7 linked regions of the Callithrix jacchus genome follow. The protein of the gene in region 3 purifies or fractionates together with the protein of the main gene of each other region. This does not show direct contact. Links are inferred from orthologs where the notes say so. Each region holds a gene or a part of one and is shown on either strand. Other genes may lie near its edges.

Region 1 (4,029 bases), on a different chromosome or scaffold from region 3:
AAAATACAAAAAGTAGCTGGGTGTGGTGGCGCATGCCTGTAATCCCAGCTACTTGGGAGGCTGAGGCAGGAGAATCACTTGAACCCGGGAGGCAGTGGTTGCAGTGAGCTGAGATCGTGCCACTGCACCCCAGCCTGGGCATCAGAGCGAGATCCTGCCTCAAAAAAAAAATGGCCTATTTGATACAGATATATACACATACTTACACACTATTGTACATGGTCTTAGTTAAGATCATGTTTGTGGGTTGAACAGTAATGTAAAGAATTCCGACGTTGTGACCGGGCATAGGAGTCCGATAAACTCATTCGATTGGGCTTATCCATAGTATGTTAAAGATGCCTTTTGAGTTTTGTTTAGTAGGCATCTTGAAGACATGCAGACAGAATGAATGTACTGATTCACCAGTGATTGAGTCTGTGCGTCTGGAGTCAGAGAGGACAGTGAGAGGGAGAAGTCCCTCCTCCTGTGGAGCTGGTCTTTCTCGCTGCGTGGAATTTTAAAGCTTCCCAGCATGCCCAGCGATTCTGATGACAGCCATCCCCCCGGTGTGCCTCACGTGCACCATGAGCCACAAGCCCTCTCTCAGCTTCTTACTAACTAGGCAGTCCAAGGTTAGGGCGGCAGGGACATTTCCATTCTCCGGCACACTCTAAGAGTGGCTGGAGAGGCGCTAGGTTTTACTTTTGTGTCCGTGGAAGGGGTGAAAGGACGAGGATCTTGAGTCCTTTCAAGGACTCCAGCACCTTCCTGCTGACACTTGAATCACCTCACATCCACCTCCATCTGAGTCTGTCATGTTCTTTACATTTACTTGCCATTTCAGCTACTGAATTATTTTTTCTTTTCTTTTTTTTTTTTTTTTCCAGCAGAGCCATTGCCTGGCCTGGAAGAGAAACCAGCAAGTGTTGGTACTTCCGAGGGGGTATACCTCAAACAACTACCTCACCCCAGGCCTCCCCTGCAGACTGACCGCACCAGGCAGAGCTCACCCCAAGAGAGGGGGGAAACGTCAGGCCCAGAGCTCAAAGCCAACTCCTCCGAATCTGCAGACAGCTGTCAAGCAACCAAGGGCAAGAATCCCTGGCCCTCGGATAGCAGCTACCCCAGCCCAGTCACCCAAGGGTGCATGGGAGACCTCTCCGCGGTGGCAGACAGGGGCACTCTACCTGAAAACGGAGTCACTGGGGAAGCATCGCCCTGTGGATCAGAGGGGAAGGGCCTTGGTAACAGTGGTTCCGAAAAGCCGCTGTGCCCCAGAGGCAGAACGTTGCAGGAAACCGTGCCGTGCCCAAGACAGAACACAGCGACACCGCCCAGCACAGATCCCAGCTTGATGGGAGGCACTGTGAGCCAGTTCTCCCCGCTGTACATGCCTGGGCTGGAGTACCCGAATTCAGCTGCTCATTACCACATCAGTCCAGGCCTGCAGGGTGTGGGCCCCGTGATGGGAGGGAAGTCCTCAGCATCCCATCCCCAACATTTCCCCCCAAGGGGCTTTCAGTCCAGCCACCCACATACTGGAGGCTTTCCCCGGTATCGCCCCCCACAAGGAATGAGGTATTCCTACCACCCACCACCACAGCCTTCCTACCACCACTATCAGCGAACTCCTTACTATCCGTGTCCACAGGGCTTTTCTGACTGGCAGAGACCTCTCCATCCCCAGGGAAGCCCGAGCGGACCCCCCGCCAGTCAGCCTCCCCCACCGAGGTCCCTCTTCTCCGACAAGAATGCCATGGCCAGTCTGCAAGGCTGTGAGACACTGAATGCTGCCTTAACTGCTCCAGCCCATATGGATCCTGTGGCTGCTGAAGTCCCGAATGACGGGCAGAATCCTGGTCCAGAGGAAGAGAAGCTGGATGAATCTATGGAGAGGCCAGAGAGTCCCAAAGAATTTTTAGACTTGGACAACCACAACGCAGCCACCAAGCGGCAGAGCTCGCTACCAGCCGGCGAGTATCTCTACGGACCTCCTCCTCCGTCTCTGAGTGCGGGAATGGGCTTTGCTTCATCTGCATTTCCCAGCCACGGCGTGATGCTGCAGACGGGGCCTCCCTACACGCCTCAGCGGCCGGCCAGTCACTTTCAGCCCAGCGCTTACTCTTCCCCCATGGCTGCTCACCCACCTCACCACCCAGGGGCCCCCCAGCCCAACGGGCTCTCTCAGGAGGGCCCCATCTATCGCTGCCAGGAAGAGGGCCTGGGTCACTTTCAAGCTGTGATGATGGAACAAATTGGCACTAGAAGTGGAATAAGGGGACCTTTCCAGGAAACGTACAGACCGTCAGGGTAAGATTGCGTTCGGGCTTTTCCCTGCGAAGAAAGAACAGATGGTGGTGGTGGTTCTTTATTTTTGAGAGAGAGTCTCGCTGTGTCACCCAGGCTGGAGGGCAGTGGTGCCATCGTGGGTCACTGCAGCATCGACCTCCCGGGCTCGGGGAGCCTCCTGCATCAGTCTTTTAAATTACTGGGACTACAGGCACATGCCACCATGCCCGGCTCTTTTTTTTTTTTTTTTTTTTTTTTTTTTTTTTTTTTTGGTAGAGGTAGGGTTTCACCATGTTACCCAGGCTGGTCTCGATCTCCTGAGTACAATTCATCCTCCTGCCTCAGCCTCCCAAAGTGCTGAGATGACAGGCGTGAGTCACCACAGCCAGCCTGGATGTTTAAACAGAAAAATGGCCTTAGAGATGAAGACAGTAGTTGATGATCTGGGAATGAGAAGCGTATGTGAATTACTGGTGTTGCATGCTCGCTAGAAAGACACTAGATGTAGAGCCCAGCGTTATCCTTGAACGTTTTCCCCCTCATGAAAATGAATTGGCATTTACATGACTGAGTTAGATTTTGATACTGTAAACTTTTTGAGATGCGTCTCCCTGGAGTGCAATGGTGCGATCTCGGCTCACTGCAACCTCTGCCTCCTAGGTTCAGACTATTGTCCTCCCTCAGCCTCCCAAGTGGTTGGGATTACAGGTGCCCACCACCGCTCCCAGCTAATTCTTGTATTTTTTAGTAGAGACGGGTTTTCACCATATTGGCCAGGCTGGCCTCAAACTCCTGACCTCAGGTGATCCACCCCCCTCAGCCTCCCAAAATGCTGGGATTACGGGTGTGAGCCACCACGCCCAGCCAGCTTTTTTATTTTATTTTATTTTATTGAGATTAAATCTCCGCTCTTTGGCCCAGGCTGGAATGCAGTGGTGTGATCTCTGCTCACTGCAGTCTCCGCCTCCCAGGATCAAGCGACTCTCCTGCCTCATCCTCCCAAGTAGTTGGGATTACAGGTGCCTGCTGCCATGCCCAGCTAATCTTTACATGATACTGGAAACTTAGTAACCACAGTTTGAGAGCTGTAAGCAAATCTGTGTCAACACTGCTGCCGTGTGCGGACGCTCTGACGAAGGTAAAAAAATAAAGAAAACGTCTATCCAGGAGTAGAAGAGATCACATGTCATTGAAGTTTTATGGCCAGGCGCAGTGGCGCACACCTGTAATCCCAGCACTTTGGGAGGCCAAGGCGGGAGGAACAGAAGATCAAGAGATCAGGACCATCCTGGGCAACATGGTGAAGCACCATCTGTACTAAAAATACAAAAATTAGCTGGGTGTGGTGGTGCGCGCCTGTAGTCCCAGCTACTTGGGAGGCTGAGGCAGGAGAATCACTTGAGAGCCAAGATCGCGCCATTGCACTCCAGCCTGGGCAACAAGAGCGAGACTCTGTCTCAAAAGAAGAAAAAAGGTTTACTACATAACTCTCATTTCTTACTATATCATTGAGTAAGAAAACCAGTTTTATCCAGAATGCAAATAAGTCCCCATGAGACTTCTTTCACACGTGATTGTGCAGTGATGTTTTCGAGATCCAGTTAGGTGATCTGCCATTTAGGAAGTTTTCTTTTTTTTTAATTGCATTTTAGGTTTTGGGGTACATGTGAAGAACATGCAAGATAGTTGCATAGGTACACATGTGGCAGTGTGATTTGCTGCCTCCCTCCCCTTCACCTATATCTGGCTTTTCACTCC
Region 2 (4,029 bases), on a different chromosome or scaffold from region 3:
GCGCCCACCACCACACCCAGCTAATTTTTGTATTTTTTTGTAGAGATGGGGTTTCGCCATGTTGACCAGGCTGGTCTTCTCAACTCCTGAACTCAAGTGATCCACCTGTCTCAGCCTCTCAAAGTGCTGGGATTACAAGACATGAGCCATCACACCCAGCCTCAGTTGGGTTATTTTAAAAAGAAACTGCTATTCTGGAACTGGAAAACACAAAACAACACCTACCAGGACGCTCTAGAAGTAAAGGGTCTGGGTTCTCAATCTTCTCTCAGGGCGCTTTAACTGTGTAGACGTTACTTTCAAGAACTGCCACCAGGCTTTTGGAACACATTATAAAGTAAAATTCCTTCATCCTGCTGGAATGCCTTCCAAATCTAAACATCCAGAATCCACAGATACTGCTCTCCATGTAACTGCCCTCACCTGAGTATTTATAACGTCTGCCAAAACTAGATTCTTCTACTAAGTGACATAATCTATGCTCAATACAACATGAAAACACCTTAAATTTGAAGGAATGTTTATTTTTGTAAATCAGTAGTATTCTTCTTTAACAATTTTGTGAGTTTCAAGTTTGAGTTAGAAATTTCTCTAAAATGAAAAATTACTTTTAAAAAAAGATTTATCAAAGAAGCACAATAATTTAGTCTTCAGGAACCAATTTTCTTTTTTATCTTTATCTCCCACATGACACCAACACATAAGCCATTTTCATTAGGTTACAGACAGCAGAACTGGAAGGAAGCTTATGGATCATTGAACCTAGTGGTTCTCAATGGGGAGGGAGCACTACTGCCTGCCCGGGGAAATCTGGCAGGATCTCGAGACATACTTTGTTCTCACTACTACCACCTACTGGCTATGTAGAGGGAAGCTCCTAAATAAACCACAAGGCGAAAGTCAGCTCCCAGGACAAAAAACTATCTTCCTCATCAGTATCATGGTGGAAGAAAATAAAAAAGATTCATCTGGCCCAAAACGTCAGTAACACTGAGGTTGAGAAAACCCAACCTAACCTAAGCATCTTATTTTTTTAATTAAAATTTGTTTCTTTCTTGAAATATACCCAACATACATACTTTAAGAAAGAATATGAATATATATTCAGAAAATTATTCAGTATAGGTTTCGGCTTCATAAACACTGAATAAATTAACTTTAAAAGTAGAAGAAGATGGTCAGGCATGGTGGTTCACGCCTGTAATCCCAGCACTCTGGAGGGCCAAGGCAGGTGGATCACCTGATGTCAGGAATTCGAGATGAGCTTGGCCAACATGGCAAAACTACTACTAAAAATACAAAAATTAGCAAGGTGTAGTGGCACACAACTGTAGTCCCAGCTATGTGGGAGGCTTAGGCAAAGAATCACTTGAACCCAAGAGGCAGAAGTTGCAGTGAGCCAAGACTGCACCATTGCACTCTAGCCTGGGTGACAAGAGTGATATTCCATCCCAAAAAAAAAAAAGGTAGAAGAAGAGAAAATGTAACACTGCCTTCTTAGCCCCTATACCTCAATTTTAGCAATTCAGGCACCTATGATGGCTTCTAAGGGACAGTTTTGAAAACTTCTATAAAATCTAATACCCAAATACCCTACTATTCAAGCTCTTTATCTTCTCACACTACGCTTAGAACAAAAGTAGTAATCAAATCTGGGTTTCTTTCCTTCTCTCTACACATTTCACATCTACCCACTTAACTCAAACATACCTAAGATCAAAATACAGAAATTTTGCAAATGGAAAAGGGGACAGAGGAAGGGCAGTCCTTAATGCTGAGCCCACTTGAGCAGGGTGAAATAACTCACAGATAGACAGAGATACTCACTGCGGGGACAGTAATCCTCATCAGCAGAGTCTGTGTGCTCTTTACAGTGATAGTTGAATCGGTAGTCAATGCTGTCATGTACCCAACCTTTTTCAATGAATAATCCTGGAACTTCATCAGAGAAGAGCCAGTATCTACAAACCACAACCAGTATTAATAAGAATCAACAGATCAGGATTGCAGGAGAATTTTACTCCTGGAGATTAGAGTATCACTGAGCATTCAAAACCACGTTTACAGAATTCTTCCTCTTCAGAACTCTAGACAGATAAAAACTGTAAGGTAAATCAAAGCATATAAGAAATGTTAAAACTGGAGACTAGTTTAATGTCTGTAATTTTTATAACTGCTCTCTTTTTTTAATGGAAATGGGTGGCTATGTTGGCCAGGCTGGTCTTAAACTCCTAGCCTCAAGCAATCCTCCCACCTCAGCCTCCCAAAGTATTAGGATTACAGGTGTGCACCACCACAACCAGCTGTAATTTGTGTAACTACTAATATTTCTCTTCTTTAGGTTTCACAAAATGTACGCGTTTAAAACCTACTGCCATTTTTAAAGACTTGTATTTGGATCACACTTCAACTGTCACCATCATATAAGCTTCCTACTTGTGGTATCTTCAAGGGCAGGAACATTCTCACTTAACTTTGCAACTCTAGCATTTGGCACAGTTAATATTCAACAATCATCAACAATTCTGTTTCCAAACACAATCGGAAAACTCAAGAGAGAAGCTTGTCTATTCTTGTACTTTAGGTAATTTTCGTTAACTAACAGCATTAAAAATAGTCCTGGAAGAAAACAAAAATTAGGTTTAGGAACTGACCTATTATGGTTCCGATCTGTACCGATAGGAGTCCTGCGCATGACCAGTTTGGCCTTGGCAATCCCTTCCTGGAAAGCTTTCTCAGCAGCTGCTTTGTGCCTCCGTATTCGTTCTTCTTCAGCTTGGCGCTCCAGTTTCACTGTTAAAGGTAAAAAGACTCAGTAAGATATTTTCCTAGTAATTCCCACTTTCAGATTAAATATGGAGTAAAAAGTGCCTCATGTATAGTAGTTATCCAATCCTCTCCCTAACTCTAATCTGTTATAAGAAATGATATGTGGCCAGGCATGGTGGCTCACTCTTGTAACCCCAGCACTTTGGGAGGCCAATGGGGGCAGATCACGAGGTCAGGAGATGAAGACCATCCTGGCCAATATAGTGAAACCCTGTCTCTACTAAAATACAAAAATTAGCTGGACATACTGGCACATGCCTGCAACCCCAGCTACTCAGGAGGCTAACGCAGGAGAATCGTTTGAACCTCGGAGGCGGAGGATGAAGTGAGCCAAAGTTGCGCCACTGCACTCCAGCCCGGTGACAGAGGGACACTCTGTCTCACAAAAAGAAATGATATGTAAGGCAGCAACTTCTACATAGTCCTCCTGCATTCCTTGAATTTTGGTGACATCTCATCCCTCAACTCAATGCAAAATCTTTTAGCTCCAAAATATCGCTTTTTGTTTTTTGAAACACTCTTGCTGGCTGGAGTGTAGTGGGGCGATCTCGGCTCACTGCAACCTCTGCCTCCCAGGTTCAAGCGATTCTCCTGCCTCAGCCTCCTGAATAGCTGGATTACAGGCAAACGCCACCACGTCCAGCTAATTTTTGCATTTTTAGTAGAGACGGCGTTTCCCCATGTTATCCAGGCTCGTCTCAAACTGACCTCAACTAATCCACCCATCTCAGCCTCCCAAAGTGCTGGGATTACAGATGTGAGCCACCACACCTAGCCAAAATATCACTTAATGTATTTTAAACAACCCTGAAGAAACAGTTAACAGCTCAGAAACAGGACTAACTGAAACATCTTCTAGTTGTTTTGAGGACCTACAGGATCCTCAAAACGATCACAATAAATACAACTAGTAAAGTAACTATTTCAAAATAAAATATACTTCAGTCCTGAGGAATCTGACAGGAATTTGGCTTAACAGCCCTGATGACAAGAAAAAAATTCAAAAACAATGGCAGGGGAGTACTTGGGGATAATAATTATTTTACATTGAACACCTATTTTTCTAATTGTTCAGCAAGTTACTGTTAATGATAAAAATGTTAATTTATTTCTGATCATTCATTAATTAGGTTTATTCTATTCAGCAAAAATTTCCCTCAACAACAAAAGAAGCCCACTAATTTTGTCTTGTTTTTCCAT
Region 3 (4,029 bases):
CCTCCCAAAGTGCTGGGATTACAGGCGTGAGCCACCATACCTGGCTGGAACACTTTTTTTTTTTAAGTTTAGAAAACCCTTGATTGATTTATTTATAATAAATTTAGAAATCTTGTGGTTTTTTTTACTTCATATTTACTGTGGCAATTTTGGGAGCAAACCTCCAGACTAATAGCTTTCTTGTGCCATTTGTAGACATGTTAGTCAAACACCAGGCCTTAAGTGCATGCCTCTGTGTTACTGTTTTTTGTTTGAGGTACATAATTAAAAACAAGAGTACACAAGCACTTTACATCTGAAGGTTCCCTCCCTACCTGACTGGGAAGTAGTTTGTATAAGCCTAAGAAAATTTTGGTAGCAATGAGATAGCTTTCAGTTCAAAGAAACATACTTAGTGGATATGTCCTCACCTTCAGAGTCGCGGATATTTGATTGTGCATTCTGTTATGGGTTCCAAAACATGATAAAAATTTTAAAAGAAGTTATTGGAAACTTGTATCTTTATCCACTTACTACAAGTTGGTTGGCATATAAAAATCAAAGCTTTGTTTAGGTGTATGTGAGTGACCATTGAGGAGGGTGAAACAAAGTGTTTTCTGTTTTTTTTATTTTTAAATATATACTTGTATTTTTGAAAACACAGATTACAAGGTTGTCCAAATTCCTGCCAACTGAAGATCTTTGTTAATTTATTAATGTTGAGTTTCTTTAATGATCCAGATACATTTTCTCCTCAGGTGTGGCGGTGCATGCCTTTAGTCCTAGCTACTTGGGAAGTTGAGATAGGAGGATGGCTTGAGCAGGGAGTTGAGGGCTGCAGGGAGCTATGGTCCTGTCGTTGCACTCCAGCCTAAGCAACAGAGTAAGACTGCAAAAGAAATAATAAGTTTTTAGGGGTTTCAGCTCTTCTGGAAGTTTTCTTTAAAAAGAATCTGATGTTAGATATTTCAGTTCTAGTGTAAAGTTTGGCCTATGTGAAGGATTTTTTTACTTTTTAAAGGAGAAAAAGCTGATTTGGGGAGTATTAGTAATAACACCTTTCTGCTCATCAGAAACTTGTGTATATGTAATGTTTCTATCTGTTGAAACTTGTGGATTTTTGAAAATTAATTTTGTTATATGCAGCTTTCACAAAAGATTATATTTCACTGACACAGTATACAGTAGGGTTCATTATATGATATATAAGCTTTATAAATTTTTTGTAGCTTACCAGCTGAAAATTTGATATTAAATTTAGTGTAAAAATGAAAATTATCAGATGTGAATAAATAGTTAACAGAAATGATTGACATTTGAGACAAAATTATAAGGCATTAAACCTTACATTTAAAAATTCAAGTTACCAGAAAAATAAAGTCTGTTCAGTTAACATTATACAACACAATATTTTTTCAGGGAGGCTTGTGGACCAGAATCTGAACAAAATTGGGAAAGATGAAATGCTTCAAATGATTAGACATGGGGCAACACATGTGTTTGCTTCAAAGGAAAGTGAGATCACTGATGAAGATATCGATGGTATTTTGGAAAGAGGTGCAAAGAAGGTGAGATGTAGATTAAATGATAATGCTTTTAATATAAAATGTTTCAAACCAGAAACTGAGGAAATATTTGTTACATTGCTTATAAATAATTTTATTTCCCTAAAAAGAGGCTTTTGTGTACATGAAGTTAATTTATTTTGACTACAGGTTCATGCTTGCTTTTTGTTTTGTTCTCTAGACTGCAGAGATGAATGAAAAGCTCTCCAAGATGGGTGAAAGCTCACTTAGAAACTTTACGATGGATACAGAGTCCAGTGTTTATAACTTTGAAGGAGAAGACTATAGAGAAAAACAAAAGGTAATTTAGAAATAGGTTTGGGATGCATGAAAGCTTTATTTTACTAGAAACTTGGAATTTTAAGTGGTATTATAATGTCTTGTAATTTTGCTTAAAACAGTATTTTTTGCTTATTCACATCTGAATCTTTATTATATAAAACTTAAGGCTGCTTTTTGAGTTGGGAAATTCTGAAATATTTTTACAGTTTCTGTGATGAAGTTTGTAGTATATATTGACAGTGAAATATATTCTTGTATGGGATGAATATAGTAATTTAGGATGTTAATCTGATTCATTTAATTTTAAACAGCCAAAGTGATGGTAATAAAGGGAAACATTTCTTAATTTCATAAGTAATACTTGGTAATATAGAGGGAAATTGGAAAATACCCATAGAGTAGAAGAAAAAAATAATTCTACCCAGTGTTTTTCTCGTTAACATTTAGGTCTATATCTTCAGAATTTGTTCTAGGCTAAACACATGTCTACAGTATTCTCCTAGTTTAGATTTATAGCAAACATTCTATAGTGTTTCTCCCTCTCATTTAACAGTTGTTCCTTTAAGCAAGAAATACTGAATGCTTACATTGTTGCTTATTAGGCACTGTCTCATGTGTTAATTATATACATGATATTGAGCAAAGTATTGTAGTCCCCAGCCTCATAGAGCTTATACCCAGGATTGAATGTCTTTCCATTTACAAAAACATCCTTCTTGATGATAATTTGTTACTGTGTGTAATAGAAGTTGGTGATTTGAGTTGTTTCCCATGTGCTAGATTGCATTCACAGAGTGGATTGAGCCACCTAAACGAGAAAGAAAAGCCAATTATGCCGTTGATGCATATTTTAGGGAAGCTCTTCGTGTTAGTGAACCTAAAGCACCGAAGGTGAGTTAACTGACACAGCATAAAAAGATCTAAAAATTTTTAAAATGTAATTATTTTCTTATATTCTTGCAAAAACATTGATAATTATATTTTGTATTTCTTTAGACTGTATTCTGTTTTTAGTTAACATTTTAAAAAAATCAGTTTTGAATCTGCATTTAAAATTAAGGTAACAATTCAGTTTTATTAAAAGATGCATTCATTTGCTTGGAAAATTGGCTGTCATGGTTTATGAAGTAAGAACTAAGGATACATTTAAAACAAAATTTCTTTTTTATAGATAACACTGTTTTTTTTTTCTTTAGGCTCCTCGACCTCCAAAACAACCCAATGTTCAGGATTTCCAGTTCTTCCCTCCACGTTTATTTGAATTACTGGAAAAAGAAATTCTGTTTTACAGAAAAACTATTGGGTACAAGGTAATTGAAATTGTCCACTTTTCTGTCCATTGCTATCCAGAATTTATGGAAGGTATAAACATTAGTTATTAATATTTATCTAATTTGGACCTAGTGGGAAAGAATATTGCTTTAGCCTATTCTAGTTGTATATGTCAAATACATAAGCTGTGTGTCTGTTACTCTTTAAAAAAGAAAAATAAGATTTCATGACGAATCTAGGTTGTTTTTAATGTAGTAAATGCAAGATATCAGTATATTTTCTTTCCTGGTTGAACAGAAACTTGTGAAATGTCAGTTAATTGGTTACACTTATTCCCGCCACCTGAAGTTAATTGGTTAAGAATTTAGTTCATCACTTGCTCTTTAAAACTTACTTACTGATGGCATAGAAAAATATCTCTTAGGTACCTCGAAATCCTGAGCTGCCTAATGCAGCACAGGCACAAAAAGAAGAACAGCTTAAAATTGATGAAGCTGAACCCCTTAATGATGAAGAGTTAGAGGAAAAAGAGAAGCTTCTAACACAGGTATATAGCCTTTATTCAGTACAAACTTTAATAACAGTTTATTGTAAAGTACTGTGTTGGGTGATGTTGGGGCATACAAATAAGTACAGGTTTCTGCTTTTAAAGATGGAATAATTGGAGACAACAAAGCATGGGCATGTGCATAAATGCTCCATTTGATTGTCACTAATTGTTGACGTAGTTGAGAAGACTAGTCTTGCCTTGGTAGGGTGGGTATCCTTTTTATCACCTTACTTTGAATGTTCTTGTCTTTCCTATGATTTTCCACATTGCTACCTAGTCACCATTTTCAATTATAAATCTTGGCTTGGTATGTTCTTAACATCCTTTGGTGTTCATCAAGGTCTTTTAGAATCTGGCCTTTAACCTACCTTTAAAGCTTTA
Region 4 (4,571 bases), on a different chromosome or scaffold from region 3:
AATTGTACTGAATGCATATATTTGGCAATCAGTGCTTGTATTTTAATTTTCATTTCACATATATGAACACAACTTTCACATGTGAAAAATTTCACAAATGTGAACACAATTGTGAACATAAATGTGTTCATATTTGGTGTATGATGACCACGAGAACGAGGAGGAGGAGGAAGAGGTGGACATGGTCTCCGAGGAGGAGGACGGCGAGGCCGAGATTGAAATAGCCATTTGGTGGACAGAAATCCTGTTAGGTATTTTTGTTTCTTTTTTTTCAATTTTGAGACAGGGTCTTGCTCTTTCACGCAGGCTGGAGTGCAGTGGTGCAATCACCACTCACTGCAACATCTGTCTCCCAGGCTCCAGCGATCCCCCCCATCTCAGCCTCTCATGTAGCTGGGACCACAGGTGCACACCACCATGCCCGGCTAATTTTTCAATTTTTTTCTAGAGACGAGGTCCTGATATGTTGCCCAGGGTTGTCTCGAACTGCTGACCGCAAGCTATCCTCCGGCCTCCGTCTCTCAAAGGGCTGGGATTGCAGGTATGAGTTTCCGAGCCAGGCCAACTATTTTTCTTTAAATTACTTTTTGGTTGTCACTTATCTCAAATATTCATATAAGTTTATAAAACCTCTTATCTGAAGAGCTGCCCTCAACCACTCACGGTTGAGTCCCTGTGATAAGGTTTGAGGGTGCCTGAAATGTCATCATGATTCGTCCCCTGGGCTAAGCTGAAACTTAGTGACTTGTCAGATAAATAAATCAAGGTTATTTCCCGATAATACAAACATAACACCGTGAAGTAGGTTTTTAGGCAGGATTTCGTTTTACACTGCAGAGGAGAGGGAAGTTCCTGCTGAGGTGGTAGCGGTCCTAGCTGGGGCACTGGGAGGGTGGCGGGAGACTGGAACGTGCAGTAGTTGCGTTCTGGAGTTTCCTGAGGCTTTCCGAGTGGGGGTTCCACGGAATAGGCCTTAAAGTGCCCCTCCCTCCGGGCGTGGCTCCTGGCACAGCGTGGAGCAGTTGTCATTCGAGTCAATTTCAGGACTCCAGCTCCCAGGTAAGGAGTTTCCTAAATTCTAGGAATTTCCCTTCGTCGGTGGCGCTGCCCAGTGTCCTCGGTCGTTCGGCCGCCCCGCTCCTATACCTTTTTTTCTTTTTCTCTGGCTCTTTCAGCATCAGTTTCCCTAGGGGGCCGGGAGGGGAATGATATTTGGGGGCTCTCCTGCCTTTCTCTCCGAGCCGCGGAAGGGGAGACGCGGGGAGGAGGTCCGGCAGGCTTTGGCCTCCAGCCAGGGGTCCGCGGAGACTATGGTCTCCGAAGGCCTTTGACACAGGGGCATTTCGCGAGCTGCGCACCCGTCTCTGCCGCGCCACCCGCGCCCGAAGTCCAGCTGCGCCTAGCTGCGCCGAACCCAGAAGCCCCGTGCTCCCCGCCCCCGACTCGGCGCTCCCGCGCTCCCCCTAGCGGCCGCTGCGCCGCCTCGCTCCGTCCAGGCTCGTCGGCGGCGCAGCTCACGTGACCGCGCTCCGGGCCTGCGGCCGCTGTCGGTTCCCCCAGTCACCGAGCGAGAGGGAAGAAACAAGATGGCGGCTGAAGGCGATCCGGAGTGGGGCCCCAGCAATTCGGATTGAGCCTTCTCCCTCCACCCGCTTCCGCCGGCTGGGCCCCTCCCGCCCGGCCCCGCGGGCTTCCCCACCCGGCCCCGGCGCTCCCCACCGCCCCCCCTGCGCCCGCCCCTCCCCCTCCGCTTTCCCTTCTCCCCCCCGCCTCGGCTCCGACATGAGGGGCCGGCGGGGCAGGCCGCCCAAGCAGCCCGCGGCTCCCGCTGCGGAGCGCTGCGCCCCGGCCCCGCCGCCGCCGCCGCCGCCGCCGCCGCCGCCCACGTCCGGACCCATCGGGGGGCTCCGCTCGCGGCACCGCGGCAGTAGTCGGGGCAGGTGGGCCGCCGCCCAGGCTGAGGTGGCGCCCAAGACGCGGCTGAGCTCGCCCAGGGGGGGCAGCAGTAGCCGGAGGAAGCCGCAGCCGCCGCCGGCCCCCCCCAGCACCAGCGCCCCGGGCCGGGGGGGGCGAGGAGGCGGGGGAGGCAGGACGGGGGGCGGGGGCGGCGGCGGCCACCTGGCCCGGACCACCGCGGCCCGGAGGGCCGTCAACAAAGTGGTGTACGATGACCACGAGAGCGAGGAGGAGGAGGAAGAGGAGGACATGGTCTCCGAGGAGGAGGAGGAGGAGGAGGAGGACGGCGACGCCGAGGAGACCCAAGATTCTGAGGACGACGAGGAGGATGAGATGGAGGAGGACGACGATGACTCCGATTATCCGGAGGAGATGGAAGACGACGACGACGACGCCAGTTACTGCACGGAAAGCAGCTTCAGGAGCCATAGTACCTACAGCAGCACTCCAGGTACCCACCCAGCCCAGTTGCTGCAGACTCCTTCCCCACCTCCTCTGCCCTCCCCCCTTCCTCACTCGTGTGCTGTGCATCCTGCTCCGATCTCCCCCCAACCCCGCCTTCCCCCCAAACAGAGGGGAAATGCGACGGCACATCAAGTGGCAAAAAACTAGATTTACAAGAGGAAAGAGGCGCATTGTTCAAAATGGAGATTGCATTGTTGCAGTTTGCAGGCCACACTCGCTTGCTCTCTCTCCCCCCAACCCCCTCTTTTTCCTCTTCAAAATTTGTGCCAGTGCGATGTCTCCACCGGGCAGGATTGAAACTTTGGCAGACACGTATCCATTGCATTCATTTTTCTTCCCTTGTTTTGGTGTGGTTTTCTGGAATGAAAGAAGCCTCTTGTTTTGCAAACCTCTTTGCATTTCTAATATGGTTTCTTTCAGATTTTTATTATATATCTGTTACTTAAAAGGGAATTAAGGATTTGGGCAGATTGTGGCACACAAACACACACAAAAACATGCCTGTTTTCACACCCCTAGCTGTGGTTTTAAAATTGTGTTAAGGAAATGGATCATTTGGGTTAGTAGGGGAACTTTATCTGGTCCTGCGTGTTTGTTTTTATTCTTCGAGTGCCAATGGGCTCATGCAACAGTTGCTGGTAAATGGCTGATGAAAAAGCAAAATAGAAAGCCAAACAAGACCCAACCAAATTTGGTAATTCATCCGATTCAAAATTGTTTTGGTTAAGTCAAAAATAAAAGTACAAAACCGCAGGAACGCTTGTCTTAACTCATTTGATCGCTTTGCCTGGCTTGGGAAATGCAGTTTCGTGTCACCTGTTGCACAAGATGTGTAGTTGATCCTCTAGACATAATTGCCGAAGATGAACTTTTTTCTAAGTCATGTAGCATCAGTATCAGATTTATTACACGACGACTTTTTCTTTTCACTCTATTTCTGAGGAAAAAGCCCTCACAGAAATCCGTAATGAATTTCTCCATGGTAACCCCTCTTCTGTTTTCTCACAAAAAGTTTCTCCAGGCTGGTGCTGAGATGCATTTTGTTAAAAACCCCTCACCCTCTTCCAAAAGACTGCTTTGTATTAAATAGGTAGTTGAAATTTACTAAATTGTGAAATTAACATAACCAAAGCAACAACTGGCAAGACTTTTCCTTTATAATTTTGCAAATCTAGATTAATTAAATTAGAATCTGGTTTTAAAAGCATTTGAAAAATAAAGTTTATGAGGAAATATTTGTGAGGAAAAAGGACCTTTTTTCCTTGAATTAAGGTGTGTCATGTCTTTCTCAGAGAGACTCGGATAGTAGAAGTGGTTAAATTGAGAAGTTTCTGTTTTTTATAAATGCTTACTTATTGGAGAAGTAGAGTAGTATTATATTAAGCCAAATGTAAACCCACATGAGTTGTCCTAACAAAGTGAAAAAAGGTAATTTATTTTGCCTGATGGTCAGAATGGTTGCCTGGCTTGTGAGGGTTGGGGGGGACTATGTGGAGAATGAAGGGAATGAATCAAGTGTCAGGTATTTATGTCTTAGATGTAGAAAGGACTACAGGTAAATTCTTGCCAACTTAATTTTAGCTCATCTTTTTGTTTTTGAGACGGAGTCTTGCTCTGTCGCCCAGGCTGGAGTGCAATGGCACGATCATGGCTCCCTGCAACCTCCACCTCCTGGGCTCAAGCGATTCTCCTGTCAGCCTCTTGAGCAGCCGGGATTACGGGTACCTGCCAGCATGCCTGGCTAATTTTTGTATTTTTAGTAGAGATGGGGTTTCACCGTGTTGGCCAGCCTGATGTCAAACTCCTGACCTCGTGATCTGCCCACCTTGGCCTCCCAAAGTGCTAGGATTACAGGTGTGAACCACCGTGCCTGGCCTAGTACACCTTTTATGGTAATAATTTTTACCTTGAGAAATCACTTGTTGGTCTTCATTATACACAGAACCGATAATTGAAACATGGAGACTGAATTGCATACACCCCTGGAGGAAGTGTTTCTGATTAAACAGAGCTGAGACATTTTGGCAGGGCAGTTCAGCTAACTTTAAGACCTATTTGAAGGCCTAGCAAATAATATATAGGATTGATAACTCGCATATGCTGACTTAAATTACAATCTGTAGCTAGGTGTCATTTAAAAAAATTTATTT
Region 5 (4,570 bases), on a different chromosome or scaffold from region 3:
GATAGCCATTTAAACATTTTGATATTATGATGTAAGTTTTGGTTTTAGGGCATACAGTCCATGCTAAAGGTAGATTTGACTTTAGAAATATCTACCTGTAACATATTTTATGATCTGCCTCAAAATCTGCTTTTTCCAACTTAAGAACAGTGGTAGGGAAGATAATTAATAATAAAATTTGCTCATGCCAGGCACCTATCTTATTTGATCCTCAGAACAATCCTCCGAGGTAGGCACTATTATTAACTCCATTTACAGATCAGGAAATAGGCAGAGATATTAACTGATATACACACACTGTTTAGTTGTAGCCATTAAGTGCCAGAGATAGGATTTAAATCCAAGCCTACCTAACTTCAGGTAATAAATGAGTGACCACCATAAAAACTGCTCTTTTTATCTGTTGTAGTTCTTTGCTACACTATTAGGTAAAGCTCACCTTTCTACCTTTCTTCAAATTGCCAAGAGGATATTCCAGATTCAGACTTGAAATGATGCTTAGAAGCCCCTAAGCAATGTCATCCCTATTGTGTGTCTGTGGTGGTGGTTTTTCTAAAGCCCCATGCTTTAGAAAATGGGGCTTTAGAAAGACATAGACATATAAAAATAAAAACCAAAAAAAAAAAAAGGAAGGGGGCTTCTGTTCTTTGAGGAGAGGTTTATGTACTCATTTGTCCCCCCAGGACCTATTTGAATATATGCTTTTTTTTTCCCTGTCCCTGGCATCCCTGCATATATCTGAAACAGACAGAAATTATGGACATGTACCCTCCCCCAGGTACTCTATCTTACATTTTCAGATTTTGAACTCAATACCCGATTGTAGCCCATTTATTAGAATTCATATAATGAATAAAAAAAGAATATGTTTTTCTCTAATAATTTATTTAATTGTTCAGTAATTTCATCTTCTCTAACAAAAGGGATTAAAAGCATGCCATACCTGGCCAGGCATGGTGACTCATGCCTCTAATCCCAGCGCTTTGGGAGACCAAGGCATGAGGATTGCTTGAGCCCAAGAGTTTGGGATCAGCTTGGGCAACACAGTGAGACCCCCCCACCCCCCAGTCTGTATGCAAAAGAAGAAAAATTTACAAAACACACATACACCTTTACTTCACTATGAATTACAATAACTGACCTTACCACTTGTGGCTCAGCCACTAGTGCAATGGTGCAATCTCCGCTCACTGCAACCTCTTGCACCTGGGTTCAAGCCATTCTCCTGCCTCAGCCTCCCGAGTAGCTGGGATTACACGCATGTATCACCACACCCAACTGATTTTTGTATTTTTAGTAGAGACAGGGTTTTGCCATGTTAGCCAGGCTGGTCTCGAACCCCTGAACTCAGGTGATCTGCCTGCCTCAGCCTCCCAAAGTGATAGGATTATAGGCGTAAGCCTGGCCGTGACCAAGTTTAATAGAATGTTGAGATTATACTACTGTTTTCCTGTAGGTTACTGGTTTTTAACTGCTGAAAGGAAAAAGCCAGTAAATAGAACATAGTCACAGCAATATGAAATTCAGCCTATAACTTTCCAACAGCCCCCCAAAAAAGGTAATTTGTATTTTTTAGCTATTTACAGCTTTTGTTGTCTTTAACTGTATTTGGCATTTAGGACCTGACTATCTTATTTGAATACTGTTTGGAATCAACTGTGTATAAATTACTCCAGATTTCTTTAGAAAAATTGTGAAACAGATGAAGTTGTTTTTCCCATTAATCCTCCATTCTTCTTCTCCTTCTTCTCCTTCTTCTTCTCCTTGTTCTCCTTCTCCCTTCTTCTTTTTTTTGAGTTGGAATTTCACTTTTGTTGCCCAGGTTGGAGTACAATGGTGTGATCTCAGCTCACCGCAACCTCTCCCTTCAGGGTTCAAGCGATTATCCTGCCTCAGCCTCCCAAGTAGCTGGAATTATTAATTTTGTATTTTTAGTAGAGACAGGGTTTAACCATGTTGGCCAGGCTGGTCTCAAACTCCTGGCCTCAAGTGATCCACCCATGATGGCATCCCAGAGTGCTAAGATTACAGCCGTGAGCCACTGCACCTGGCCTACTCTTTTCAATTAAATACATTTAAAAAAAAATTCCACATGAATATGAACATATATTGTGCATCATTTAGTAAACATATTTGCTCATTTATTTTGCTTATATAAATGGTGACCAAAACTTTTTGATCAGTAACTTTACATTTAAGGGTGCAGACAACGGATGTTCCATTTTCATTATTTGGTTAAATTGTAAACATTAAATTGTACCTATGTTTCAGAACTTAATGAATCAGAGATAAAACTCAAGTAATTTGATGAACTCTACTTATTCTTTCTGATTCATATAAAGTATATTTTTCTGATTACTTGTGGATTCTTCATGCATTTGTTTATGCTGTATAATTATTCAGTTACTAATCATGGGTTTATTAGGCATGTTTTATAGACTTACCACTTTAAGAGAAATAAATACTTTTTCTCTAAACAAAAAAAAGGACACATACTCTGACAAATATATCTCTGGTGACAATGTTTCTGAATCACAGAATAGACTATCCTTCAAAATCTAAAACATAATGTTGCCAAATATATCAATTACTGAACAAATAAAGTCATTGTATAATTCAATGATAAAAAGTGATTTATTAGGGCCGGGCGTGGTGGCTCAAGCCTGTAATCCCAGCACTTTGGGAGGCGGGTGGATCATGAGGTTAAGAGATCGAGACCATCCTGGTCAACATGGTGAAACCCCGTCTCTACTCAAAATACAAAAAATTAGCTGGGCATGGTGGCGCGTGCCTGTAATCCCGGCTACTTGGGAGGCTGAGGCAGGAGAATTGCTTGAACCCAGGAGGCGGAGGTTGTGGTGAGCCGAGATCACACCATTGCACTCCAACCTGGGTAACAAGAGCTAAACTCCGTCTCAAAAAAAAAAAAGTGATTTATTGAATACCATTGATGTGCCAAGCACTTTATATACATTATACCTAATTTTTATGGCAACCTTGTAAGATGGCTGATATTATTTCCAATTTATAGATATAGAACCTAAGATTTAGGGTGGGAGTGGAGAGAGAGGGTGATGTAACTTGTCTAAGATCAAATGGCTGGTCTGTGCCAGAGCTGGGTCTCAAATTCAAAGCTGGTCTAACACCAAAGCCCATGTTCCTTCTCTAACGGTGCATTAGCTCAAATAACTTATGATGTCCTAGTGAGTCCTAGCGTACAGATACTTGTGGTTAAGAAAGGACAGAGAGAGAAATCAGAAGTGAGTCAGATAGACCTGGGTTGAATATTGGCTATACTGTCTCTATCACTTAATAGTTGTATGACGGCCGGGCACGGTGGCTCAAGCCTATAATCCCAGCACTTTGGGAGGCCAAGGCTGGTGGATCACGAGGTCAAGAGATCGAGACCATCCTGGTCAACATGATGAAACCCCGTCTCTACTAAAAATACAAAAAATTAGCTGGGCATGGTGGCATGTGCCTGTAATCCCAGCTACTCGGGAGGCTGAGGCAGCAGAATTGCCTGAACCCAGGAGGTGGAGGTTGTGGTGAGCCCAGATCGCGCCATTGCACTCCAGCCTGGGTAACAAGAGCGAAACTCTGTCTCGAAAAAAAAAAAAATAGTTGTATGACTTTGAGCATGACATCTTCTCTGAGCCTTCATTTTCTTCTTAGTAAAATGGGCTTAGCAATACTTACTCAGAAGATTAAAAGAGGTATTGTATGTATTGCTCTTGACACAGTGCCTAGCACATAGTAAGCATTCAATAATTGCTATCTGCTATTTCCATTGTGATTTTATAGTAGCAGTTCAAAGTGGCATTGATGTATTCTAGTAAAAATGTTATCATTGGCCGAGCTTGATGGCTCATTCCTGAAATCCCAGAGTTTAGGTGGACCGAGGCTGAAGGATCGCTTCAGGCCAGGAATTCAAGACCACCCCAGCCAACATAGTGAGATTCCCCATCTCTACCAAAACAGAACAACAACAACAACAAAACCTAGCCAGATGTGGTGGCACATGCCTGTAGTCCCAGCTACTTGGGAGGCTGAGGCTGGAGAATTACTTGAGCCTGGGAGGCAGAGGTTACAGTGAGCCAGGATCTCACCACTGCACTTCAGCTTGGGCAACAGAGTAAGAACCTGTCTCAAAAAAAAAAAAAAGGAAAAAAAAAAAAGCCAGGGAGAAGGGGGAGAAGTGGAGAGCGTGGCTAGAGAAGGAAGCCAAAAGAATGTATTATAACAGGAAGCTAATGAGTAGATGACAGACAGAATGGCTAAGGTTTTGAAGGCTGTGCTAAAGAGTTTTTCTATTGTTGTTTTTTGTTTGTTTTTGTTTTTCAGACAGGGTCTCACTCTCTCGGGCAAGCTGGAGTGCAGTGGCACGATCTGGGCTCACTGCAACCTCTGCCTCCTGGGTTCAGGTGATTCTCCTGCCTCAGTCTCCCACGTAGCTGGGATTACAGGCATGCACCACTACACCCAGCTAATTTGTGTTTTTATTTTGTATTTTATTTTATTTTATTTATTTTTTGAGATGGAGTCTCTCACTGTTGCCCAGGTTGGAATG
Region 6 (4,490 bases), on a different chromosome or scaffold from region 3:
TGTCGGCTAGGCTAGTCTCAAACTCCTGACCTCAGGTGATCTGCCCACCCTGGCCTCTGAAATAGCTGGGATTACAGCTGTGAGCCACCATGCCCGGCCCATGTATTTTTAATTCATACTGTATCATGTCTTGTAAATTTGCAACAGAAATTCAAGCTTTCTAAGACAACACGAATTCATCACATTCCAACTGATGCCCTCAAGTGCTGAGGAATATTACACACTGCAGAAAGTTGATATCCACTCCCCCCCACTTTTTTTTTTCCTTCATACAGGTGAATATGACCATCTCCCAGAACAGGCCTTCTATATGGTGGGACCCATTGAAGAAGCTGTGGCAAAAGCTGATAAGCTGGCTGAAGAGCATTCATCATGAGGGGTTCTTGTGTCTGTCCCTCTCCTTGCCCCTAATCCAGAAAGCTTCATTTTTCTGTGTAGGCTACACAAGAGCCTTGATTGAAGATACATTCTGTCTGAACAGTATTTAAAGTTTCCAATAAAATGTACACCCCCCCAGAATTTGTCTGTTTCTCTTGGTTCTGACAACATCATCAACAGTGAAGGGTTATATATTTTTAGTTTTAGAGACATGTCTCCAACTCTAGGGCTCAAGAGATCTCCCACCTGTCTTCTGAGCAGCTGGGGCTACAGGTGTATGGAGTCTCACATCACCAGCACTGTTTTCAACAGATTTTTATAGAGTGGCCATAAAAAGCAGTTTCAGTGTGAAGTTGGCCATGTATGTTTGAAATCAGTCCTCAAAAATAGTCATTCTCTTGCTGATAGACAACCATACCTCTTGTGAGGAGTTTCTTGTGGATAGTGTGATCTTAGGGCCTCAGTTTTGGGCCTTTTATTCAATGCAAATTGATTTCCCCCCCCATACCATGTAGCACATTACTGCTTGGTTAAAAATAGGCCTTTTTTGAAGGGCATATTGGGAAAAATTTGTTCTAGAAATAACTTTTTCCAGGGGTTAATCTGAGTTTAATGAATTAAATTTTCAAGAAAGAGTGACAAAGAATACTATCTTTGTTAAAATTGAATCAAAAAGGGTCCTCTACATCTTGGTTAGGAATTCCTGTCTTCAGAAAGTGTACTTAACTACTTCCTGACGTTTTGGGCAAGCCTAGAAAAAAAGTTGCTTGTGATTTCTTGAGGCTATGCAAAGGCTTATAATACCATGAGGCCTAGTCTGCCCTCTGTGAAGATCCCTTATGAAAGTCCAGAAAAGATCTTACAAGGGAATAACAATATTCAGTGTTGTCAGGGGTTCCAAACTAATGGAATTAGGTAATTTTCTCTTCATTTTAGCCCACCTTGAGAGGTGCAAGGATAGGTAGATTTCACCATTTCAATTTAAAAGAAGCAGACAAGGTCAGATTGGGTTCCTCATGTGTTCTTTCCTGAGACCAGACCTATCCTACTGCCCTCTCGCGGTAGCACTGGAGACTGGAAGAACACTGATCCCATTTTCAAATCCACGAAGGCTGGGATGTGGTTCTCAGTGAAAGACTGTTTACAAACCAGCTGGGCAATTTGTCCTGGGGAGGAGCCTGCATCGATAAGCTCCACCCCCTGAGGCCATCAAGTTAGGTAGAAGCTGGGCGGAGATAAACCGAGCTCCCAATTCAGAGGCCCCTGGGGGCTGAAGGTTGGGGAGGGCCATTTGGCGCGGCGCCAGGGGTGGAGTAGGGGCCTCCAAGCTTTCTTCCATCTGCCTGTGACGTCCTTGGCAGCAGCCTCTCCCGCAGTCTCTCCTGTGTCATGATCTGGACAGAAGGTGGAGCCCCTGAGCTGCTTGTGCTGGTAGTTTGCTCCCAGGAAAGCCTGGATTTGGGGAAATGCTGAGTTATGGGGGTGGGGACACTTCCTCTAGGTCCTGACTTGGAGTGGGTAAGAAGCTGGTACAAAATGCCCTAGGCCCCAGGTCAGCCCTTTCTTTGTTTTCTCACGTCACCCAATACAGACCTGGGAACTGAAATCTTAAAGGTCTTTTGCATCCCTCCACCCCTTCCCCCAACACGTTCACGTCCTTCAGCGTTTATCGAGAACCTTCTCCCTCTCACTAGCTGCAACTATTTATTTCCTTCTCCCTTTGCCGCCCTCTTCTACCAAGCCACTGGAGTGTCAACACAGCTCTAACCTTCCTCCATATTTCTCCTGGTCTGCCCTGTCCTCGCCTCCTCCCTCTCTCCACCCAGAGAAAGCCCCGCCCTTCCCTCCTCCCTCCCCACCCAGTCTGTCACACAGGGACATCACCCTACAGCAGTTCAGACTGTGTGGTTCGCAGGAAGCATACACTGGCTTTTGATTCTTGCTAGTTCCCAGCTCACAGTTTGGGAGGATCCAACACCAGCCTTTACGTGAAGCGGGGGCACAAGGACAGTGAGGAGCTGGGTGATCCCAGCCTGGAGTCCTGCCAGCCTGACATGGGTGAGTATGGGGACCAACCCCGGGGAAGGCCTGAGGGATGCCTACTCCCTCCCTGGCTGACTCAGCAGGGGTGGGGCCTAACCTTTGCTCGTTTTGGGGGTGAAGGGGAGGAAACAGGACCCGGGGACGGGAGGGGGGCTCAGGGCTCAGCCGCCGATCACGGGATCCCGAGTATGGGCAAGCCCCAGCTCTAAGGAAGAGCCTGAGACGCACCTTAGGCCAGGGCTTTCCCAACCCCCTCCCCGTCGCCCCGTGGAGGACTGTCCCTTCTCCTCCCCATTTAAGCTGTTGAAATTCAAGGAAATTTTGACAGTACTCACTGCTAGCCCCCACAAAAGTAAAGCCCGCTTTTGGCCGTGCTAGAAGGTGTTTAAAGTGCGTCCCCTTCTTAATTTCTCTAAGGCCTTTTAAGTCTCTGTCTCCTCTCCTCCCCCACCCTGACCCACCTTCAGGTGGGGGCTGCACTGAGCAGCTGCTTCCTGTTGCCCCAGAGACTGAAGCAAGGGTGGTTGGTGGTTGGGGGAAAACTGAACCAAAGTCGATTCTCATGGTCCCACTTGAGCCTCACTAGGGCTGCTATTGATGGCCACCACATTACAGTCACTGAAGGCACTGAGTGGGAGGCAAGATTGAGGTTGAGAGGATAGCTTTTTGCCCTCGTGGCTTCCTGATTCCAAAGACCCCACAGCTGTAGGGATGGAGCCCTGAGGAGCTGAAACACCGGGAACCTGTTCACCTAGTAGGTCCCTGCGCATGACCCCCAGCAGGCTCAGCCTTGAGTTCCTCTCCTTCACCCCTAGGCCTCCTAGGAGCCCATGTAGCTCTCTCAGCCTTCCCCGGCCTCCTTTGTGAAGCGGTCTTTGCTGGTGCCCTGGGAGCGCGGGCAGAGCTCTCCCGAGTCCTTCCGTTCGGACCTACCACCATCCCCCACTTTACCGCAGAAGTTTCTGTCTCTTTCTGGGATCTGTTCTCAGCCTCCCATCTGGAATCCTTCCTGGTTCTGGCCCCTAGGAGACGCCACCCGCTTCCCTCTTCCCCAGAGAATCCTTCGCGTCTGCTCTCCCGAGCAGTTGTCCTCACCCCGGTAGCTCCTGCCCCTTTAAGCGCCATCTCCTCCCCTCCGCCGCCGCCGCCGGCCCAGGGCTGGGGGAGGAGGCGCCGCCGCCGCCGCCCGGCTCGGCCACCTGCGCCGCTGCCGCCGCCGCCGCCGCCGCCCGCAGCCCGGCCCTGCGCTAGGTGAGGTCCGGCACCCACCTCCAGCCCCGGAGTCCCCGGGCGGCCCGTTTCTGCGGTATCCTGCCCCGGGATCCCTGCTGCCTCAGGATTCAGAATCTGACTCCCTCTGCGGGAGCTGGCCTTCCTCTCTTCCCTTCACTATCTACTCTCCCATTTTTCCCTCTGTCCTCTGCAACCGGAATCCGGAGGCTTCTCACGCCTCTCCGCCATCCTCTCCCAAGTACCCTTCCTATTCTGGGCCCAGGATCTCCCCCTCCCCCGCGTCTTCCTAGCCAGAAAAATCTCCCGCGGTCTGGGTTTCGCCTCCTCCCCTCTGGAACTAGCGCTTTCCCACGCCTTCCTAACCCCAATGGGAGGGGGGATACCCACCCCAACTCCTCTCCTTCCCTGTAGTAAGGGGGGCGGGGGAATAACAGCAACTACACTTACTATCTGGCCTTGCCCCGCTCAGCCCTTTTAAGTTCAGCTAAGTCCCATCTAAAGCTTTTCTGTAGTCCTTACCCTACCCTACAGCTCCAGGAGCTCGGGGTCCAACCTCAGCACCGCCTACTGAGCCCAGGTGGGAAGGGCTCTCCTCTTGGGCCTAGGGTTGGTCGGTCCAGCCTAGGAGCACCCCTCCCCCAGTATCTGGGAGCTGGGGGCCGGGGCGCTGCCGGAATCTTGTGCTACTGGAGCAGTTGGGAGAGAGTGGGTGGGGAACTGGGGCGGTGGGGAAGGCAAGAGAAGTCCAGTTTTCTCTGTTTAGATCCAAAGGAAGCCCTTCCACCCCCTAGGAATTAAGGGCTTTCTCTAACTTCCAGTAGCACTATAGAGAATTC
Region 7 (4,029 bases), on a different chromosome or scaffold from region 3:
TGGGTCACTGCCCCCATTTTTTTTCTTTTTTGAGATGGAGCCGCACTCTGTTGCCCAGGCTGGAGTGCAGTGGCGAGATCTCAGCTCACTGCAACCTCTGCCTCCCGAGTTTGAGCGATTCTCCTGCCTCATCCTCCTGAGTAGCTAGGACTACAGGCATGTGCCACCAGGCCTGGCTGTTTTTTTTTTTTTGCTTTGTTCCCTGTGAATAATTTTGTGTTTTGAGTAAAGACGGGGTTTCTCCATGCCGTTCAAGCTGGTCCCCAACTCTCGACCTCAGGTGATCCGCCTGCCTTGGCCTCCTAAAGTGCTGGGATGACAGGTGTGAGCCGCCTCGCCTGGCCATCCCGTTTTAAAGATGAGGAAACCATTATCTACCTAAGGCCAGGAAACTAAAAGTGAGAGATGGAATTCACACCGATTGAAGCCTGGGCCCCAGCTCAGAACCACAAAGTTGCTCCACCCTTTTTGAGCTCCTTGGAAGCCGCCCACAAGGTTTGCTACTGTCTGCCTCCGGTGCCCGGCGTGTGGGTCAAGCCTCAGGTACTCCGAACAGGTGCTCCTGCAGGGCACGGCCTAGGGGACTGGCCAGGTGTTCTTTCCACCAAAGGCTCCTGGCGCGAGTCCCACAGCGGCCCAGGGCCCCTCGTCCACATTCTAAAATGGGGCCCAGGGGCTCCTCCCCTCCTGCCCCCTCAACCCCGTCCCTGGTGCCCAGCAGGACCGGTCCCGACCTTTGCAGGAAAGCTTCGTATTTGCGGCGATAGGCGAAGCCGGCTCTTCGCACACGGAGGTTCTCCATCAGCCCCAGGTACTTCACCTGGTGCCGGATCAGCACCTCGTCAAAGCGGCCTGGGGAGGTGGAGGTGCAGTCAGCCGGCTGGGGAGGGGGTGGTCAATGGCCAGTGCTGACTGCCTGTTGCCTGCAGGGGACGCTGGGCCGAAGTACCCGGCAGGAGAGGCCTACCGGGCTGCTTTGCGTCGTTGGGCTTGATGCAGCGGATGTAGGCCGGCTCCTTAGACTGCAGGATCTCCACCAGCTGCAGGAGGCTCATCTTGAACTGGGTGGCGACCTGGGAGGCCAGGAGGCAAGGAAGCTTGACCGGAGCTTGGCTAAAGCTCATGACCCCAGCAGCGTGTATCCCACTCCCCTGGCTGGGGACCCGAGCGGCAGCCTGGCCTTATTCCTCCCACCATACCGTCCCCGAAGAAAAGGAAGGGGCCAGACTCCACCCCAGACCACTCTGGCTGGGCGAGGGATCTCTGCTTACAGCCGCGCTCCAGCCTCACACTCCTGTTCAGGTCTCCCAGCAACCCCAGTGCGACACCTCCCTTTAGCCGCCCTTCTTTTTCTTTCTAGAACTCCAGGGCTGCATTCCCAAACAGCATGTCCCATGCTACGCATTCGGCTATGATCAGGGTAAACTGCTCTGTCGGACGGGGAAGATCTCAGGCCAGGCGGAGAAACACTTAGCAAAGACCAACAACTCTGGGTGGCTAGGGAATAACAGGTGCATCCCTGGGGGTCCTGAGAGCGCCAGAAAGGGACAACGCATCCAGTCCGAGGGGCAGGGAGCATCAGGAGAGTCTTCAGGACGTTACAGGATGAGAAGGGCCGGCACAGTGGCTCAGGCCTGTAATCCCACCGGGAAGGAGCCGGAGCTGAGGGAAGTTGCTGAGAAGGACTCAAGCCAGATCCAGCAGCTGGATGAGGGAGGCAGGAGAGTAGAGAACCAGGGAGCTAGTCGCAATAGCTCACGCCTGTCATCCCAGCACTGTAGGAGGCCAAGGTGGGCAGATCACCTGAGGTCAGGAGTTTGAGACCAGCCTGGCCAACATGGCAAAAATCTATCTCTACAAAAATACAAAAATTAGCTGGGCATGATGGCAGATGCCTATAATCCCAGCTACTTGGGAGGCTGAGGTAGGAGAATCACTTGAACCCGGGAGGTGGAGGTTGCAGTGAGCCGAGATCGCACCACTGCACTCCAGCCTGGGCAACAGAGCAAGACTCTGTCTTAAAAAACAAAAAGGAACAGGAGGACATTCAGGTTTCTTGCCTGGGGGACTGGGTGGAGAGTAATCCCTATCCTGAGTTAGGGACAGAGGAGGAAGCCTGAAGAAGAGACCAAGGGCCTGTCTGTTATAGACCAGTGGAGTCCAGGGTGCCTGGGGCCATGTGGGGAGAGAAGAGATACAACATCTGTGGCTTGCTGGAGAGGCCTGGGCCGGAGGGGTATGCAGGCATCCTCAGCAGGGAGATACGAGCGCAAGGAGGATGTGGGCACTTCGGGAGATGGTGGGGTGGACAGCAGCAGTGGGCAGGGCCCACAGAGCCAGACCGCTGGCGGCATGGTGCCTGCATGCCCTCCCTGGTGAGCAGTCTCGCCTCTACCTCCCTGCTGACCGACCGACCCCGCTCTTCCTGGGGCTGCCCTGATCCTCTCCTTGCCAAACCCAACGACTGCCCCTCGCCCCCAGCTCGCTGGAGCTCTGCCTCTGGCACCTCGCCTATGCCTGCCTTTCCCGGTCCCTCTCCTTGACGCCATCGCTTTCCGGCTCCACTCCTGGCCTTTTCGAACTCTCTGAGTGTCTGAGTTGGGCCCTCACTATAGGTTCATCTGACATTCTCAAGTGATATCCAATGCTCCCTCCTCCAGGGAGCCTCCCAGCCCTCACCCCTTCCACCCCTGAGGCCATCTGCTGTTTCTCTTCCAAGTTCGCAGTGCACCCTGTGCATGTGGCTGCAGGTGCACCCCCCTGGTGCCTGGGCAGCATCTGCTATAAATGTCGGCTGAGTGGGTGGACATGAGAGTGCCCACATAGAGGCAGGTGTCAACATACTGACACCCACAACGGAGACAGGAGCACACACACATTCCCCTACAGCACAGCCCCCCACTTAGGAGACACGGCCCCACTACAGACACAGCACATGCAGAAGCAGGCAGACAGGGCTGGGAGCCGAGGCTCACGCCTGTAATCCTAGCACTTTGGGAGGCCGAGGTGGGTGGATTGCCTGAGGTCGGGAGATCAAGACCAGCCTGGCCAACATGGCAAAACCATGTCTCTACTAAAAATACAAAAAATTAGCCATGCATGGTGGTGCGAGGCTGTAATCTCAGCTACTTGGGAGGCTGAGGCAGGAGAATTGCTTGAATCCGGGAGTTGAATCTCAGTTGCAGTGAACCAAGATTGGGCCATAGCACTCCAGCCTGGGCAACAGAGCGAGATCAGCCTAAAAAAAAAAAAAAAAAAAAAAAAAAGGGGGGGGGGCGGGCGCGGTGGCTCACGCCTATAATCCCAGCACTTTGGGAGGCCGAGACGGGTGGATCTCATTAGGTCAAGATATCGAAACCATCCTGGTCAACATGGTAAAACCCGGTCTCTACTAAAAATACAAACATTAGCTGGGCATGGTGATGCATGCCTGTAGTCCCAGCTACTCGGGAGGCTGAGGCAGGAGAATTGCTTGAACCCAGGAGGCAGAGGTTGCGGTAAGCCGAGATCATGCCATTGCACTCCAGCCTGGGTAACAACAGCGAAACTCCGTCTGAAAAAAAAAAAAAGCAGCAGCCAAAGAGGCACCTAGAAGCAGCCCCCTAGACACCCACAGATGTGCACACGGGCACCAACACGGGCTCACACGCATGCTGCCAGCTCCCAGGCTGGCTCAGCCCTCACCCACGCCTGGCCCCACCCCTCACCGTCTCCGGCCGTTTCTTGTCACTGAGCTCACTCCGGTTGAAGCACTGGCTCATAATGGGATTCTTCGAGCTGCACATGGTCTGTGTGGCAGAGCCGGGGTCAGGCTGGAGCACAGGGACAGGCCCCTGGACACAGGTGCAGAGTTGTGGGTGACCCCTTCCCCCTCGGCCCCCACTTCAGGTCCCTCACCTCCTTCAGGTTCCGGAAGAGAAGGTCATTGTTTTTGTCCAGAAACCCTGGGAGGGGAGAGCACATGTGAGGTGAGACAGAGGCTCCCTGCGGCCCCCGTGAGGACCCAGCCCAGGATCCTCACCAGTCACG

What was found.
Region 1: the proteins of SMARCA5 (region 3) and CECR2 purify together in Homo sapiens (affinity purification with mass spectrometry; 3 studies listed by BioGRID and IntAct, with this or other methods). This does not show direct contact. The link is inferred for Callithrix jacchus from reciprocal best matches to the Homo sapiens genes SMARCA5 and CECR2.
Region 2: the proteins of SMARCA5 (region 3) and BAZ1B purify together in Homo sapiens (affinity purification with western blotting; 11 studies listed by BioGRID and IntAct, with this or other methods). This does not show direct contact. The link is inferred for Callithrix jacchus from reciprocal best matches to the Homo sapiens genes SMARCA5 and BAZ1B.
Region 4: the proteins of SMARCA5 (region 3) and BPTF purify together in Homo sapiens (affinity purification with mass spectrometry; 4 studies listed by BioGRID and IntAct, with this or other methods). This does not show direct contact. The link is inferred for Callithrix jacchus from reciprocal best matches to the Homo sapiens genes SMARCA5 and BPTF.
Region 5: the proteins of SMARCA5 (region 3) and BAZ1A purify together in Homo sapiens (affinity purification with western blotting; 8 studies listed by BioGRID and IntAct, with this or other methods). This does not show direct contact. The link is inferred for Callithrix jacchus from reciprocal best matches to the Homo sapiens genes SMARCA5 and BAZ1A.
Region 6: the proteins of SMARCA5 (region 3) and BAZ2A purify together in Homo sapiens (affinity purification with western blotting; 3 studies listed by BioGRID and IntAct, with this or other methods). This does not show direct contact. The link is inferred for Callithrix jacchus from reciprocal best matches to the Homo sapiens genes SMARCA5 and BAZ2A.
Region 7: the proteins of SMARCA5 (region 3) and MYO1C purify together in Homo sapiens (affinity purification with western blotting; 3 studies listed by BioGRID, with this or other methods). This does not show direct contact. The link is inferred for Callithrix jacchus from reciprocal best matches to the Homo sapiens genes SMARCA5 and MYO1C.

What each region holds. Positions count from the first base shown.
Region 1 is NC_133502.1:212,660,885-212,664,913, forward strand, and holds part of CECR2 (chromatin remodeling regulator CECR2), read left to right. Parts: intron 1-869; coding exon 870-2,292; intron 2,293-4,029. UniProt on the Homo sapiens protein: Regulatory subunit of the ATP-dependent CERF-1 and CERF-5 ISWI chromatin remodeling complexes, which form ordered nucleosome arrays on chromatin and facilitate access to DNA during DNA-templated processes such as DNA replication, transcription, and repair.
Region 2 is NC_133503.1:10,220,684-10,224,712, reverse strand, and holds part of BAZ1B (tyrosine-protein kinase BAZ1B), read right to left. Parts: intron 2,794-4,029; coding exon 2,655-2,793; intron 1,962-2,654; coding exon 1,828-1,961; intron 1-1,827. UniProt on the Homo sapiens protein: Atypical tyrosine-protein kinase that plays a central role in chromatin remodeling and acts as a transcription regulator. Involved in DNA damage response by phosphorylating 'Tyr-142' of histone H2AX (H2AXY142ph).
Region 3 is NC_133504.1:53,197,568-53,201,596, reverse strand, and holds part of SMARCA5 (SWI/SNF-related matrix-associated actin-dependent regulator of chromatin subfamily A member 5), read left to right. Parts: intron 1-1,398; coding exon 1,399-1,547; intron 1,548-1,725; coding exon 1,726-1,845; intron 1,846-2,606; coding exon 2,607-2,717; intron 2,718-3,022; coding exon 3,023-3,136; intron 3,137-3,522; coding exon 3,523-3,645; intron 3,646-4,029. UniProt on the Homo sapiens protein: ATPase that possesses intrinsic ATP-dependent nucleosome-remodeling activity.
Region 4 is NC_133506.1:90,441,063-90,445,633, reverse strand, and holds the start of BPTF (nucleosome-remodeling factor subunit BPTF), read left to right. Parts: upstream 1-1,558; 5' UTR 1,559-1,782; coding exon 1,783-2,407; intron 2,408-4,571. UniProt on the Homo sapiens protein: Regulatory subunit of the ATP-dependent NURF-1 and NURF-5 ISWI chromatin remodeling complexes, which form ordered nucleosome arrays on chromatin and facilitate access to DNA during DNA-templated processes such as DNA replication, transcription, and repair.
Region 5 is NC_133509.1:69,378,760-69,383,329, reverse strand, and holds the start of BAZ1A (bromodomain adjacent to zinc finger domain protein 1A), read left to right. Parts: upstream 1-1,497; 5' UTR 1,498-1,558; intron 1,559-4,570. UniProt on the Homo sapiens protein: Regulatory subunit of the ATP-dependent ACF-1 and ACF-5 ISWI chromatin remodeling complexes, which form ordered nucleosome arrays on chromatin and slide edge- and center-positioned histone octamers away from their original location on the DNA template to facilitate access to DNA during DNA-templated processes such as DNA replication, transcription, and repair.
Region 6 is NC_133510.1:63,014,078-63,018,567, forward strand, and holds the start of BAZ2A (bromodomain adjacent to zinc finger domain protein 2A), read left to right. Parts: upstream 1-1,594; 5' UTR 1,595-1,767; coding exon 1,768-1,809; intron 1,810-1,832; exon of another isoform or gene 1,833-1,854; coding exon of another isoform or gene 1,855-1,896; intron 1,897-2,275; exon of another isoform or gene 2,276-2,324; coding exon 2,325-2,436; intron 2,437-3,575; exon of another isoform or gene 3,576-3,672; intron 3,673-4,490. Other genes in the region: ATP5F1B (ATP synthase F(1) complex subunit beta, mitochondrial), read left to right, coding at 276-376. UniProt on the Homo sapiens protein: Regulatory subunit of the ATP-dependent NoRC-1 and NoRC-5 ISWI chromatin remodeling complexes, which form ordered nucleosome arrays on chromatin and facilitate access to DNA during DNA-templated processes such as DNA replication, transcription, and repair.
Region 7 is NC_133506.1:66,758,985-66,763,013, reverse strand, and holds part of MYO1C (unconventional myosin-Ic), read right to left. Parts: coding exon 4,022-4,029; intron 3,945-4,021; coding exon 3,898-3,944; intron 3,789-3,897; coding exon 3,708-3,788; intron 1,074-3,707; coding exon 968-1,073; intron 853-967; coding exon 735-852; intron 1-734.